Lytechinus pictus: one gene and its partner. Each later gene encodes a partner of the first gene's protein in a complex. Links are inferred from orthologs where the notes say so. Each region holds a gene or a part of one and is shown in the gene's direction. Other genes may lie near its edges.

Region 1 (8,976 bases):
GAAGATGGCTTTAAAGATTGGGGTTTTAAATGACTGTTGTTTCTTGGGGATATTAATTTGGTGTCTACATTAGGGTTTCAAGGGTCAAAAATACTTTGGGACTGGATACAATGATATGCAGTTATCCATTTTGCCTTAAAATCCAAGTTGACTTAAAAAATGGGTTCCAAAGTGAGTGATGTTACTTAAAAATAGACATAGTTCAAACAATATCCACCTGTGAGAAATAATCTTGGTGCCTACACTTAGTTTTCATATTGTTTCATGAGTTGGTAACAGCACCCATTTTGATGTAATTTTATAATCCACCATGGATTTTTTTTTACAAAATGTAATACTAACCATCTTTTTTTAATTGTCCGAATGTATTATTTGACCCTGCATACACAATTTAGACACCAATTATTTCTTACAGATATATATTGTAGAACTCTGACCATTACTGAGTGATATGAGACGTTTTAGCTGCCTTTTTTGAAAACCCTGTTGGACTTTTAGGAAAACTGGACAACTGCATATCAATGTAACCGGTCCAAACGTAATATTTTAACCATGAAACCATAGTGTTGACACCGAAATCACATCTCCTTGTTGGATTTTAAATGAACTTAGTCCATTTTTAAAGTAACAGCAATCATTTCAGACTCCATTTTTCTTTAATCCATATTGGATTTTCGACATACTGGACCACTGACTATCCTTGTTACTAATTTTCTGACTTTTAAAACCATGGTATAGACATCAAAATGCCCTTCACGGATATTACATAATCTATGTCCATTTGTAAATACCAGGGGCTAATTTGTACTATTTTTTAAGCCAGCGTGGACTTTTGGACAAACTTGATCACCCATCGTCCTTGTAACTTATCCCAATGTATTATTTTACCCATTTAATCATGGTATAGGCACAAAAATCATATTCCCGGACATTGAACAAACTATGTTGTTGGGTTTTTGTAAGTAGGAACAACATTTTTCTACTCCATTTTTGGGAGCCATCTTGGATTTTTGAACATACCGAACCACTGACTGTCCTTGTAACTTGTCCCAATATATTATTTGACCATTGAAACCATGGACTAGACACCAAAATCATATCTCCCTGGTGGATATATGAGTTATGTCCATTTTATTGACAGCCATTTTAAACTCAATTTTTGGAAACCATCTTGGATTTTTGGACACACCAAACAACTGGCTGTCCTTTTAACTTGTCCCGATGTACTACTTCAACATTCAAACCATTGAATAGAAACCAAATTAAAGCCATCTAATTAAGTTATAGATGAATTGTGGATCTTTTAGCCTACGGCAGCCATTTTGGGCGCCATCTTGGATTTTCCTGGCGCGGTAATATTCACTCTGACCTGTATCAATAAATTCGTTTACCCACTCGACCATGGAGTATGAATCGAATTAGGACTTTCGGGTGGATAATGAGTGAGTTATATCAATTTTCAGTGAATGGCGGCCATCTTGGACGCCATCTTAAAAATAACTACTTTGCCGTATGCGGATTTTGGTAGATTTTTAGTATGTTATTCCTGAGGGCAAATACTGCCAGAAACAGTTGAAAAATAATTTGTAGCAATTTGTTCCGGGTCCAACCATATATTGACCCGTCTAGAATGGATGAAATCCTTGACTTGTCTAGGGGTATTTTGGAGGTTTGCCAAATAACATCTTAGGGATAGGGCGAGGACTTTCTAGGTTATGCAGGCTTATAACACTGGGCTTGAAACCCCCTTTTATTAAGTCCACCCCCCGAAAAATCAAACAAGCATAACACCGAAAAATTAATCGCTTAAGTAAAACTTTAAAATATCATAACTTTCATATTTTACTTCTGATTTTGATAAAATTTTCAGCATATATTGTGTGGTTTTTCTCGATTCAAATAATCTTTTCCATGAGGTGGACTCGCCCTTTAAGAGTGTATCTCTCTCTCTCTCCCTCCGTCACATCGATCGACCCTCTTCAATTATCCTCTCCCCAGTTTGTTCATATAGGCAGCGGGGGGGGGGGGGGTCCTGTCCCCCCTAAATTTTAGGTTGGGGGCCGGACAGACCCCCCAAAATTTATGTTGATAACCTTTCTTGTTCTTTTTGCTTGTCAATTTTGTTTCCTGCGTCCCCCCTAAATTCAGGTGAACCCCCCTAAAATTGTTGTGGTCCGCCCTAAAATTCTGGTTGATAACCTTTTTTTTTTGCTTGTCAGATTATTTCTTTTGTTTTAATTGCATCCCTCCCTAAATTTGGGTTGATAACCTTTTTTTTTTGCTTGTCAGATTATTTTTCTTGTGTCACCCCAATAAATTTTTGGTTGATAACCCCCCTTTTTTTTGCTCCACCGAGACATTTTTTTTCTTTGAAGACATTCATCATCTCAAAATAAGTTCTGTGAAATTTCTGAAGTCTGTAAATCCGTTTCTGTAGCCTAATGTCTTTTTTACGTACTTTTAAGAAAAAAAAAAGTTCTTGGGAAAAATAATTAGATCTATTGTTGACGAGAAATATCACAAATTCACATGCAACAAGTTGCATTCAGTTAGCTCCTAACGTATAGTCCTACCCGGCCGTACATGTACCTATTAGCTTGTAAATTTTATTGTCCTTTAATTCAAAGGAAATTAACACAAATAAAAGATAAAATAATTTTCAGAATACCTTGTAGATCTAGTCCTTGACCGAAAAATCAGTCTATTTCGGTCACTAGGATCTGTGCTTCGCAAAAAATCATTTTTTTCAACTCCTCCGAAACGGCAGATTTCCAGTCTTTACTTAACTTAAGTCAAGTTTCAGAATACAGGCTAACACGGTCAGTATATTTTCGTGTCTCGTGATATTCTTCTGTCCAAACATGACTGATAAACTCATAAAACTTGGTGACAGTTATGAATATTAATAAACTGAATATTTATTTGAATCATGGTTTAATTTCATCACGCTTCCAGAGAAATCACAACAATCGATAACCCCCGGGCGATATACCCCCCCCCCCTGGAGTTTTAAAGTTTTGGAAACTTGCTCTGGTAATTTAGAATTACCACACATGTATTTGAGCACATGGGACTACATAAAGTCTACAACTATTCAGTTCACCAGCTTGTCTTAGCTGTGAAAAGTAATCCCCTTTTCTCTGTTTCCACGGTCGTCCCGATTAGTGCAATCATACGCGGCACAGGATGGCATCTTTAACTTTGTATCAGGTATAAATTCACATTAAAAAGTGCTGTAATAAGAGTTGATCTGGTAAGTATAATTAAGAATTGACACTATTGCCGTGAACCAGACTCTACTTCGATTTTGACTTTTTTGGGGGAACTCGGCGTGTGGGGAGGTAACAACTTCCGGTGCTTCAACACGGAATAGGCCATCCAATCAGCGTTATTGTTCCCATCCAGATAAGGGAGAGATCAGTGAGTTAGCCCAGTAAGAGGACCAGTTCGAGGACAGTCAGACCAGTAGAAAATACCAGTAAAGACCAGCTTGAATTGGATATGAAGACCAGTGCATGAGACCAGTAACAACCACCAGAAACAAGACCAGTATAAAATTCCAATAATTTAAGACCAGTTTAATTTTTAACTGGACCAGTAAAATTTCAACTGGATCAGTATGACCAGTTAGACCAGTAAACCGATGTTCCAATTTCCAGAGTACCAGTTAAAAATTTTACTGGTCTAACTGGTCCAGTGTAACTGGTTTTTCCTTCTGGGAAGTTAGTTTTGTGATAATATCTGTGTGATTTTGTGTATATTGTGTCAAATACTGGGAGCTTATTGCAATAAAGTTTGAATATATTTATTGGATCGAGGATTGTACCATTTCATCTTATAAATAAACCCCCGCTTCAACGTCAAACGCGCTCTCAGACGTAAAAAAAATATGCTGCCACAAACAAATCTTATCTAGATCTATAAATAAACACATTTTTACAGCATGGATAAATCTCAACAAAGGATTTTTATCAATACCATGAAACTAAAAGAAATGTTATCAAAATTACTGTCAACAATTTGAAAAGCAATTTGTTTTTATGAAACCCGTCCCTAGTATATCTCTATGCCCTAGCCCTATATAGGGGAAGATCGGACACTTCGTCGATTTTTGTACGCTCCCAAACGCCCGAAAAATGCTCCTGGGGAAGTATCACTGATCTCTCCATTAAGTTAGTGGAGAGATCAGTGGAAGTATGAGAGTTGAGTAAGTAAATCTTCGCATATCAAATATATGGGGGGAAATGAGAGAAGAGAGTTTGGAGAGGGCTCAATGGTGGCGCATGGGAATATTTCCACTTTTATTACCAAGAAACCTCTAAAATATATTCATCTCAAATTTAAGGTGGAAAAATTGAAGGAAAAAAAATTAAAATGTAAAAATCGTCTATTCTATTCCTTCATTTCTCTCACATGTTTTGTACACAACCATCTCGCGATACTCAAATTAAAAAAAGGTCATTAAGGCACACACCACTAACTATTTCCCCATAGACTCATGTGCTATATAAAAAAGAGATTTGAAAAAAAAAATCGCCAAAAATAATTAAGTCTTAATAATGACAGCATCCACACCTTTATCATTTGGTAGTTCATCCAATATCCTATTCCTTCAAACGCTAAAGATATGAAAAGGTGTTTTGCAGCATTTTTTCGCGCTACAGGGGCTCAAACCAAGACTACATGCATGCAAGGTTGCAGTCACAGTGCTCACAGGGTTTCTTGGGCAACTATTCAAGTTCCCATAAAATCCAGCATTGACAAATTACTTCTCTCCCATGGCACTGAAAAGATCCAGTAGTAATCCCCAGGGGCCGTGGAACCGGGGGGGGGGGGGAAGGCTTCAGCCCCCCACTTTTTTCCAAAACCGTATATACACAAACGTAAAAATTACCACATGATTGTGATTTTTAGCATGGTCTGCTTTTGGCTCAGCCCCCCCCCCCACTTTGAAAACCGTTCCGCGGCCCCTGATCCCTCTCTGTAGTCTGTACCCATGTGCAAAAAATTGTTCAGATATGCACCGTTGATTTTATATGAATATTTTTCAACCATTACGTCATGGTACGGGTTAAAAGGGGGATTCCCGAAATTGCCGGATCCCATGCGCCCATTACTAACTCAACGCTGTTGGGCGCTCTTCCTGAGCGTTTCCTGAGCGTTTCATTGCGCTCTTTACTGTCGATGTACGTCCAATCTTCCACTTGTAGTCACCTGACCAACTGTACCTGTAGGCTGTACCATATACCAGTACGGTACCGGTACAGCAAGCAGTATTGCCTTGTCGGAGTCTTGGTCATGTAACGGAAAGTCCAGTAGGCATTCTGTAAAACTGCATATTTATTCATTGAAATCTGATTTTCTGACGAGTATTCACATCAGCATCTATTTCAAGGGAGTATAATTTGACAACAGTTTTATTGAAATAAAGTGCGGACAAATATCAAAATCATGGTAAGTAATTTGAGCTTTGTCTAACCCGGAGCTGAGCTGTGACCTGGGGCTGGACTCGTCCGTGTAAATGTCTGTAGTGTACTATTAAGTACTGGTCTAGGCTAGTGCCCGCAACAACAATTGTCCATGGTAATGGCTCATGTATGTTAATTTAAAGTCAAAAGGAAACGTAATGAGACGATTGCTCCGCAAAGTGCAACAATTGCTCCACTGAAAACGATTGCTCCGCCGACATTTACTCCGCATGCCGCATATGTGACCATTACTCTGCCAACATTTGCTCAGTGGACATTATTTTAATCCGTAAAATGTGAAAAATGCTTCACAGACGTGACCGATGAAATTTGGATCTGGAACATTTTTGCACACCCAAAATGATTTTCAGTGTAAATTTTAGGCATTCGGCAAACATCGGGAAGGAGACATCTGTTCTGAGGAATTTTTAGACTTTTATTATTTTTTGTATCTTAAGGATGGGTGTGTCCAGTAAAAACTAAAACCAATTTTACATCACAATTTTTACTTAGTCAGCCTAGCATTGATGACACATAGTCATAGACAAACTGTGTATAAACTAGAATACCTTCATTCATCTAGGCTTGAGCAGATGATAATCATGATTATTTCTCATCTGGATTAAAAGCTGGCACTTACTAAGATAATTTTGTTTTCTTATACATGAATATGTTTGGCAAAATATCTCATTTTCATCCAATCTTTTCTATTTTCAATATTTCACAGAGTGGACCAGGACCTCATAATCTTGATAAAGTACCCAACCAGGAGGGATACCTAATCCTCAATGATAGTGGAGCAGTCATGGCTGTAAGAACCAAGAACTTCTGTAGTCTTTTCCACTATTCCTCCTCCCATACTTTCTCTATAGTGCCTTGGGCCCATTTCTGTATCCCATCCTCTTTTACTTTGGGATCTTTTTTTTTTATGTGAATAGTAAAAAGAAGAAATGCTAGTTTTGTAATCGCAATGTTGAGGGAAGTTTGCAGATGAGATTTTATGGTTTGGTCACAATTACCTAAAAAGAACTGTTTGCGTGAATAATGCAATGCTGTACTCTCAATTTATTACATTGATATTTTAAAATTACTGTAAATTATGCAGGCAAAAATATTCAATGTATTTAGCTAAAACAGCAACAAGGGATACCATACAAATGTTCTCAAACCTTTCTGTGAGATCTTCCGAAGAAGGCAGACCATTCATAGACTGTTCGTATTAAAGTTTGCAGCTTGGTCAGTGGTCTTGTCCAAGATTTTTTTTAAACGTTAAAGTATACATCCAAAGAAAATTCACGAAAGTGATGATTATAGACAAATTATATATGAATGGAAAGGTCTTGTCTTTTTATACACAAATATGTCACTAAAAAGTCTTATTGATGTCGTGGAAATGCAAGAAATGAAATTATTAGAGACCCTTCTCAGCCCCCCAGACCGCGATCAAATACAGTCGAGAATAATGACGTCACATGATGATCGACTCACTCAGCCGCTCTCTAGCTCTGTGCAAGCCAGCAGTACAGTGATAGCTGATTCACCTTCCTGGTCTCTATTTTTCTTTGAATTTACCGTTTTCTTCATGTATTGTGATATCCGAATTCTGTTTTCGACAACTTCAGACTATAAGGGAACCAGAACTGTGTTATTTTGCCCGGTTTTTATTGAATTCTGAACTGGAAAGATCGATTTTGTCCACTCGACAGTCTTCGTTGTGTTGCTCTACTAACTATTGAAAAACTCCAAGCTGCACGGTCCCATTCACTTGCTCCCGATGCATGTTGCAGGTTACGCTGTTTGATCCAGTCAAAAGTCAAGGTAAGCATGTTTGGAAACTGTACTTGTTCTGACGATGCATTCAGGTCAGATGACAGATACAGATCTGATATAAGTTTAGAATCATGCATTTTGGCGTATACTATTAAAATTAAAAAGTCTTTATTTTAGAAATAATGTTTTTGCACAATTCCAGCAGATTTTTTCTTCAGATTTCTAAAACTGGTCAGGACTCAGGCAGGCGATTAAATTAATTCAAATTATTTAGGAGCACTGGTATGGACCATGGCTGAAAATCTGCTGTTTCAGAGGAATGTTTAAGTTTTTATTATACACAGAATTATATCACCATGATGCCGATGTCATGAAGCCAGACAAATTTTCAGCAGTGATTACCCACCCAAGGGTTCATTACATGCCGCCGCGCACAGAAAAATCAAGCCATAGAAGTCGTGTGTTGTGGACCCAAGAAGTGAGATCCCAGCACGAGCGACCCACTAGTTAGAAATCCACTGCCAAACGCGGTTCGTGGTGCGAGGTTAGTATACTAATACTAACCTCGCAATACGTGTGAGTGGTGATTACCCTGATTCCTGGCCCAAATCACTCACACGTATTGCGAGGTTAGTATTAGTATACTAACCTCGCACCACGAACCGCGTTTGGCAGTGGATTTCTAACTAGTGGGTCGCGCGTGCTGGGATCTCACTTCTTGGGTCCACAACACACGACTTCTATGGCTTGAATTTTCTGTGCGCGGCGGCATGTAATGAACCCTTGGGTGGGCCAAAATTAGAGTCTGGTGTTTCTTTCTGATTAGAGTGTTGCTGCATATATGCATGCGTAATGCCTTCAACAATGAAGATAAATGCAATCTTTGTAATGACACAGAGACTCAGAGAGCACCGTACCTCAAGTGATATTTGTGTAGTCTCCACTTCACTACTGCTACAGCCTACACTACGCTACACACCTACCCGGGTAGGTGTGGCGTACATGTACTGTAGTGTAGCGGTAGTGAAGTGGAGTGGGGCCTACACAAACATCACTTGCGGTAGAGCACCAGTGTTCTGAGTGGAACTTTTCAGGTGTCTTAACCTACTATCATTTGTTGTTGACCGGGAATTACATGCCACCGCACGTCATCGATCATCACGATAATTAAATTCATACTTTGATTTGATTATTTAAACTATTTCTTTTTTTCTCTCTTCTACACACAGATCTACACACTTGCTGACTCTGGTGACTTCTGGGGAGCGTTTCATGAAAGGACTTGTCAGACGTTTTATTCGACAAGTCCTGTTTTATCCGACAGTTACCATAGTAACAGTGCCTCACAGCCAATCAAAATCAAGGAAAGATGTCAGATCTGACAACTTGTCGGACAAAAATCTTGATGAAACGCTCCCCTGGTCTCTGCTTGCTACCTCAATCTGGGAGATTCCATCATGTCCTTTTACTATGATTTGGATATAGCCATTTTTTTCTTCACTCTTTCCAGGACCTACGGTTTGCAAGTTGTGGACTGATAATGATACAAAAGAAAAATTTTCTTTATCAATCTTGGAAACAATTTTGAGCACAGTTTTTGAGAGAACTAAGAAATTTGACTTGGACAGGAATACAGCTTGTCAAAAATAATAACACACAATTTAAAACGAAAGAACAATTTTAATGTTACTAGGGCATTTTGCGAGAAATGTTATACTCAATCACACGTCCCAAATCA
Region 2 (8,481 bases), on another chromosome or scaffold:
TGGGGTATGCCCAACCTAAATTTTCTAAGGTTGGTAAAAAAGTTTTATGCAACGGGCCCCAGGGTTGAGTGCAGCACACTGTGGATCAGTTTCTTGCTGAAGGAAATTACGCCATGGCTGGGATTCGAACCCACGACCCTCTGTTTCAAAGTCCGAAGACTAATCCACTGGGCCACAACGCTCTACGTTGTGGAGCTCATCATCATCATCATCATCATCATCATCATCATCATCATCATCATCATCATCATCACATCATCATCATCACCAGCATCATCATCATCACCATTATCATCATCATCATCATCATCATCATCATCATCATCATCATCATCATCATCATCATCATCATCATCATCATCATCATCATCATCATCACCAACATCATCATCATCATCATCATCATCATCATCATCACCAGCATCATCATCATCACCATCATCACCATCATCACCATCATCACCATCATCATCATCATCATCATCATCATCATTATCCATCCTCCTCCTTCTCACCTTTAAATCAAGTGGGTCTCTGTGATAGAACGCTTCAACTGCCGGTGAGACCAAGCTTGGCTGCTGTTTCAGTATAGCGGCTAGCTTGGCTGGCATCAGGCAATGGGTATGATGAAAATTGGATTGCACTTTCGAAGGGAATCTGCAAATATCAATCCACACAAAGTTGATAGTTAAACACTGAGTGACTTCAAGATTGGTGTTGGTGTTAAAAATGTGACAGACTGCTGAACAGGGAAAGATATGGATGGCATTATCGATAGCTCATGATGTCACACCTCTGCCGATCATCTCAATAGCATGCGAGAAGTCTTGAAGATGATAGTAAGACCGGCATAAAATTTGGTAACCTCACATCACATACGGTGTTATGGCTGGTGTTGACATTTGTACGATACCATAAAAGGTTTCAACACTGTATTTGAAATCACCCTCTCTTGATTTCTAAAAAATTTTCATCAAACTGTCTTTAGAATGGTTGTTGAAAATGATGAAATTATTACGTACTTTTCAGAAGTATATTCACCAAATTGCATACATCCGACACCCGATCAAAATAAATCATCATGTAAAATTCATTTCATTACGCTTGATCCTTGACATAGTAACTGTTTTAGGGCATACACATCCATATTTTCTAGTAATAAATTAGAATAGTGATAGATGCATCATGGGGGTCTATCAAAGCTAAAATCAGGCTTTAACTAGCTGTTATATTTCATAAATGGAAAGCTATTTCAGTAAAGGGGACAAGAAGGGGGGGGGGGGTCAGGGAGGGTAGTAAAATATTGAAAAGCAGTGCTTACTCATCAATTCTTGCTCTGACTGCTTCTCTGATGGTCAACTTGGCAAGCGTTTTCTGAAAATGACTGCGGACTACGTCTATGGCATGTGATTTAGAAGGAATACCGGCTGGTAGGAAGGCTAGCTCTGCAGGGTTACTTGGCTTGGGAATGATGTGTAGATCCCCTCTGTATATAAAGACCTGAAAAGATTTAAAGTTTAGTATTAAGAAAATCATTTAATATTAAGAAAAAGTTGCAAAACTAAATACGTGATCCTCCACCTCAAAACTGAGAATAAGTTGCCAAGTAAGATTATCTTTAATAAGCCAAAATAGTAATTGGTCTTCGAAAAAAGTAAAATTTATAATCTTACCTGATAGAGTAATTCTTTTCCTTCATTACTGTCAAAATTTGAAGTTGCAAAGTTACCGGTATATAAAAATGAGATACAAAGAGTTTCTTTGACATCAATTTTTTTGCAGAACTGCTTGGAACATCCAACAAGATTACATAGAATGCATGCATGAGTGAACCCCGAACTTCAAACCCTGATTTCTCCTATGCCTTGAAGCTCTCACTGAAACTCTACTTCATTTGATCAAGTACTTGCGTAGTTTACTTTTAATCAATTTATTTTATCAATTAGCTTAAGATTTACTTTTTTCAATATTCAATTTCGAAATTCATTTTGGGTGACTTATTGCAGGGTGCTACATAACTTTTTAGAAGCACTTGCCCTGTCAGACAAGTAAATTATTCCAATAGTTGGAATATACTTGCCCCAAAATCTATTTCACTTGCCCGAAAAATCCTTTAAAAAGTTTTACCTCTTAAAAAGAAAATTTTGCGGTTTTATAAACCATTAAACTTTTTCTCTCTTTTGACATGAACTGATCTTCCGGCCATGACCACAATTAGGGTCAATATTATATCGACCCTAATTTTGATATTCTGCTGTGAGAATTTTGCTTGCCCAATTCGGGCAAGTAGTTTGGTCTTTACTTCAAAACACTTGCCCAACTCTAACTTTTACTTGCCCCGGGCAATCGGGCAAGTGCTTATGTAGCACCCTGCTTATTGTGTGTTCTGGGTGAGTTTCACAAATTACATAATCAACATTATTATTACACTGATTTCAACCAAAGGCTTGTTTGACAATGCTGTCTTCAAGTTACAAATGACTTGACACACAGATGGTTACAGGGAACCTTTTCTTGTGCTAACTAAAATACTTGAAACGTTCACTGGTTTTTCAACACAGACTGAGTTTTCAGGCAAATTTTTTTTTTGAGAATTTGGAATTGAGATGCCTGCCAATGGCAAGAATGTCAATCTACTTAGATCACATTTCAATTTCAGCTGAAGGGAATAAAAATAGTCAAACTACTGAATAAGCACCCAAGAAAGGATCACCAGTCGCACATGAAATCGTAACTTACAAACAGCTTTATGGAACAGTATCCTGTGACCTTTAGCAGTCATCGTCATCTCACACACTAAGGTGATATGCTCTACATCACATTTCACTTCTCTATTACAGATGTGTAAGTGACCTTTCCTCGCAAAACTTGAAAATTGAAGTGTCCAAAGTAAAACAGGTCCACTTAAGCAAGCACATCACCATATACTTACCCTGTTGATGCTAGTCTCCGGTTCCAGCCACTTTGGTAAATGATACGCAGCCTCAATCAGTAAGAATTCGCCATCATTATCATGAACACTGATAAAAAAGAGGTATAATTAGATTTCAAGAGTATAGTCAAATCATCAGAAGATATAAAGCCCAAAGTAACGTGATAAGTATTAAAAGATATAATTCCTAAGCTACTTGAAATAGAACAATTTAAGTATGCATTCTGGAATTAATATACTGTGTGATTTGTCTATTAAACCTTTGATTTATGAAGACCTTTGACTGTTTAAAACAATAGTACTAAAAGAATAGAATTTGACTAGCTACTTTACAAAACTTTTCCAAGATCTGTAGCGATGTGTCTTTATTCTATTAAAATGGTTTTGTACTCACTTGTACCTGCATTCTGAAGGATAACCATAAAGATATTAAACAAATTTGGGGACAATACTGACTACCATTATCATCATCAACTTCATCATCATCATCAACATCACAATTATCATCATCATCATCCTTTATCATCACCACCCTCACCTTCACCCTCACCACCATCATCATCAACATCACTACCACCATAAACATCATCATCATAATCATCACCACCATCATCATATTCATCCTTTATCATCACCATCCTAAACTTCACCCTCACCATCATCATCATTACCACCACTACCACCATCACCATCATCATCACTACCACTATCACTATCATCATCCTTACCTCCATCATTATCACCACCACCACCATCACCATCTACATCACCATTGTCTTCTTCATGATCATCACCATCACCATTACCATCATCATCATCATCCATCTTCATCACTATATTTCCATACCATTTCAAAAAAGATTGTGTACTAATGATCCTCCAAATATGGACAATATTAATTTTTAGTACAGTTCATAAGAAAGATTGTCATTTTTTTCTCTCACCTTATGACCAGCTCCGGCATGACAACTGTGAGCTGATATAGAAGGAAGACAATGAACCACTCATCATCAATATTATCACCAAAGTCTGTTGCACCATGAAGGTGTGGTGGAGAATCTGAAAAATTGCATTTATTAAAAAAAACATTTTCATAAATCGAAGTAAACTACAAAATTTAAAAAATATTCTACGTTAACCCTTTAAGTAAAACATGAAGAAGGAAAAAAAGTGGGCACATTAATGAAAAAGGGAAGAGTGGTAAGGGGTTTGAGAAAACAATAAAGGAAAGGTAAAAGTTGATAGAGATGATAGGTGGAAGAAAGAACACTAATAACATGAATAATGACTAAATAATTAACTGCAAAAAAAAAAGCGTCAATTCATAATTCATTGCCATAAATACTCTTAAATTTAGTGCTATTCACTTTAATATATCCTTAAACTATTCTGTTTATGAAGTGAATTGCCATGCAGCATTGCGAAAACTAAACCGAGCAATTCAGAAATCTAAAAGTATGGTCAGTTCCCCCATGTCTGCGCGGTCTCCCAAGTCTGCGCACCCGCGTATCTGCGCGATTCTAGTAAAAGAAGATACGCAACGAGCACGAACTTTACACATGCAATACATAGACAGGTATTCATAAAAAAATCAGACTCAAATAAAATTTAAGTCAAAATGGTGAAAAAATAATGAATTCAGGGCATTTCATGTGATGGCCTCAAAATACAGCCTTTCTCATCAAAATCTCTGAATCGTGTGCAAAGTGAATGAGTGCGCAGACATGGGGTACCATTTTTTTTTTCAATCTGAAAATGACTGCCCAAGGTTTTTTCAAGAAAATCCTATATTTTCTTTCATTTTTTCATGAGAAATTTGGTATACTTACTCTCAATAATATAAGGAACATTATTATCCAAAAGATTTTGTGAAATAAGAAGAAATTCATGTTAAATCTTAACTCAAATTGTTCGGTGCGCAGACTTAGGGCCCACCATCATAAAACAAGTTTTGTTTTGAGTTGAACACTGAAATAAAACAAGCAAGTTAATGGGTGGGACTAACCTGAAACTGAACTGACAGGAGTCAGTTTAAACGATCCACGCTGCCAAATGTAGTCCACTAGCAGTGGTGATAAGTGAACCATACATGTGTCCAAAAAGTCCTGCAAACATATCTCGATTTCTTTACAACTCTTTCCCTCAAAGTTGTTGTTTGTAAACAAATCGTATTCTACAACGTTTTGCACGTGATTTGTCCCTTCCATTTCGCAGTCAAAATATGAGAATGCGCTAAGATTCAACGCTTTAACTTGAATATATTCTTTCGTTGAATCCTGTGGTTGAAACGATGAAGCTATGTTAAAAGAAAGGAGCACAGTCTGTAAAATCACATGACCAGTTTCAGCTGCTACGATAGAGTATATTGTTGTGTGGTGTGTGTGTGCTGATTCTACTGCTAGTACTTTGACTGCCCAAACTGCACTTACAAGATTGGAATTGGAAAGGTCTTTAATTCCTTAGAATAATTTATCTCGTCACTCAAAATGCTTAAACCCAAGGCCCTCACACAAGTCCTAAGCCAGGCAAATACTGGAGGAGTTCAGAGTTCGCTGTAAGTATATATTTCATAATTTTTTTCATTTGATCATGTTTGCTGGTTTTATACAAAATCAGTCACAATCACAGTCACACTCACACACATCATCATTGATAAACCTTGTTCAATAATAGTAGTGGTGGCATCGTCAATATTGAAATCTAACTACGGTACTAGTAGTAATACCTACACTGAAAATCATTTGTCTTTGAAATTGACATGATACACCTTCGCAAGTCTTTTGTTTTGTAGTGGTCTCGACTCGTCTTATTTTGAAAATGTATTTACTCATGTCTATTTTTTTTTTAAGTCAGGGACAGTGAAGAAGAGGCAAGAGAGGTATGTTTTATAATGAAGTGAAATTCATGATCAAGCATGAACAGTACGATGTTGGTCCCCAAGTCTGCGCACCTAACGATTTGAGTAAAGAATTAACATGAATTTCTTTTTATTTTAGTTTACAAAATCTTTCAGTTGATATAATGTTCCTTGTCATCATTATGAGTTAGTGTGCCAAATATCTCATAAAAATTGAAAGAAATATATGATTTTTCTTGGAAAAAAGTTCGGGCAGTCATTTTCAGATTGAACAAAAAAATGATGCCCCATGTCTGCGCATCCATTCACTTTGCACCCGATTCAGGGACTTTGATGAGAAAGGCTGCATTTTGAGACCGTCACATGAAATGCCCAAAATTCATTATTTTTTCCAACATTTTGAGTCAGATATTTAAATGAATATCTTTCTATGTATTGCATGTGTATAGTTTGTGTTCATTGCGTATCTTCTTTTACTAAAATTGCTCAGATATGCGTATGACAATGGGGACTGCGCAGACATGGGGGAACTTGCCATGTAACAATAACATTGCATTTGTCCCAATATCAATGATAGGCTGGTATTCAGATAGACCCATATGTAGTAGATTTAATGATTTAGCCTACATTTAATTGCAAATTTGCAACTTAACTGTTATAATTGATTGTTACATACGTGTATGTAAGGAATGCCCAATGATTCATCATAAACCCTTATTGCATATTTTGAAATCATCCAAAATGTGAATGACTATGATTCTTATGAATCATGTGAGAAAAGCGGGACAGTTAACGAAAGCAATGACTACGATCAGCTACCGTATTTTGACAATAGTTATTTTTTGAGAAAATAAAACGTGAAATTCTCTTTGTAAGAATGTTGCATCAATAACAGTGTATTTTGATAAATAATCCGATAGACATGAGGAATAACCGTCGTTTCTGGGGATTTATTTAACAATTAAACTATTGCTGCACTTGTTTAGGGGGTCAATTCAGGAAATACTAGTCAAGGGTATCGTTTTTTTTCCAATACTTGTTAAGGGTAGGATTTCACCAGACAGGAATAACCGTCGTTTCTGGGGATTTATATTACAATTTCTGACATTTTACTATCATCCCCATGTACTGGTGAGTGGAGCCAACGCAGTTCAGCGGAGCAACCAAATATAGAGACCGAAGCTTTTGGTCTTGGGGTTCACATGCCAATATTTGTTAAGGGGTGTATTTTCAGAATATGGAAAATACTTATTTAGGGTGCTTTTTTAAACACCATGGTTGCGCCTGGTATCCACTCGTCAATGGAATTGCCCCCCTCCCCCCCCCCCCCCCCCCCCGCGTAAGACTGCAAGAATCTCTACAGATGAATGAGATTATAAATTTTCCCTCTTTTTTCTCCAGATTGCTCAACAATGAGGGCTCCCTTCTAGCCTATTCTGGTTACGGAGACAAAGATGCTCGGGTGACGGCAGCCATTGCTAGCAATATTTGGGCAGCGTATGAGAAGAATGGCAAGGTGGCTTTTACAGAGGATGACCTCAAACTAGTGCTCATGGACTGTGAGGTAAGTTGATTCTTTCGAAAGGGTCTGGATAATTTGTAAATAGTTCAGATAATGATAATAATATGCAAAATTTATAAAGCGCTTTATACGAAAGTTTCAAAGCACTAAGAAAGAAGGGGGAAAAAGAATACAAGATATCTCAGTTAAAGAACAACAAAGAACAATGATGGAACAGATGGTAATTTGTTTTCTTTAAAAATGGGTTAAAGGTCTAATATCTTGCCTCAGACAGCTGTCAAATTTAGAAACGATCCCGGTTCCACTGCCATTACAATGTGTAGACCACACCATGCTTGTACATACAAGCACATGAAAAGGATTATTTCTCTCTGCTGCTGATCTAAATGGATTAGGTGAAAATGGTATCAAAAATTGATGAATTCAGGAGAAGAAAATGGGTACACTTCTCCCCCTATAATTAGAATCAAATATTTGAGTAACCAAAAAAAAATTAGATTTAGATTAATTTATTAGTCCATATTAAAAACAGAAATTTGTCCTCCACTGGCAGTACATAAATACAGAATAGAAAGTATATAAGGGTGGGGAAATCATGACAAAATTCCTATGTTGGGTACTCCTAGATCCGAGGATAATCACTTGCTTTAGTGCTTCGGGACCATTTTAAAAGTTAATGTGAGAGTATGGTTTCAGTTTCATAATGAAAGTGCCCCCTTCCCCTCTCCCAGAAAATAACGTTCAGCCAATTTTCTATAAATGAATATGATCTCAAAGTAAGAGACATTTTTCAGAAAAAGACCTATGAATGGTTTGATCTAATATATTTATCACTTCCTCTCTTCTTTTTAGGGGTATTTATTAGGAATCACTTTCTAATTTAGCAAGTTAAAAAAAAAGAATTTTATTCAATTTTGATTTTTTTTTTGGAATTAGATATAATTTAGACAAATAACCAGAATTGAATCTGTGAGGAAATTATTGTATATGTATCTATTTCTGTTATATTTTCTCTCAGAATGGACGAGTTGCCATCGCTAAGGTTGCCAATTTGCTCCTATGCATCCATGCAGAATCATCGGTAGGCTTTGGAATGTTAAAGAAAAAGGTAAGGAATTTATTATTTTTATTCAATTCATGATGTTATCATTTGACTTTATATGTTTCATG

Evidence for each region.
Region 2: ragulator complex protein LAMTOR4 homolog (region 1) and ragulator complex protein LAMTOR2-like share a complex: the UniProt entries of both Drosophila melanogaster proteins name them as parts of the ragulator complex. The link is inferred for Lytechinus pictus from reciprocal best matches to the Drosophila melanogaster genes Lamtor4 and Lamtor2.

What each region holds. Positions count from the first base shown.
Region 1 is NC_087260.1:995,040-1,004,015, reverse strand, and holds the start of ragulator complex protein LAMTOR4 homolog, read left to right. Parts: upstream 1-5,088; 5' UTR 5,089-5,451; coding exon 5,452-5,454; intron 5,455-6,195; coding exon 6,196-6,279; intron 6,280-8,976. UniProt on the Drosophila melanogaster protein: Regulator of the TOR pathway, a signaling cascade that promotes cell growth in response to growth factors, energy levels, and amino acids. As part of the Ragulator complex, may activate the TOR signaling cascade in response to amino acids.
Region 2 is NC_087254.1:9,443,948-9,452,428, forward strand, and holds the start of ragulator complex protein LAMTOR2-like, read left to right. Parts: upstream 1-5,139; 5' UTR 5,140-5,418; coding exon 5,419-5,486; intron 5,487-7,190; coding exon 7,191-7,353; intron 7,354-8,329; coding exon 8,330-8,419; intron 8,420-8,481. Other genes in the region: protein ecdysoneless homolog, read right to left, coding at 183-657, 1,322-1,500, 2,933-3,020, 3,877-3,991, 4,938-5,139. UniProt on the Drosophila melanogaster protein: Regulator of the TOR pathway, a signaling cascade that promotes cell growth in response to growth factors, energy levels, and amino acids. As part of the Ragulator complex, may activate the TOR signaling cascade in response to amino acids.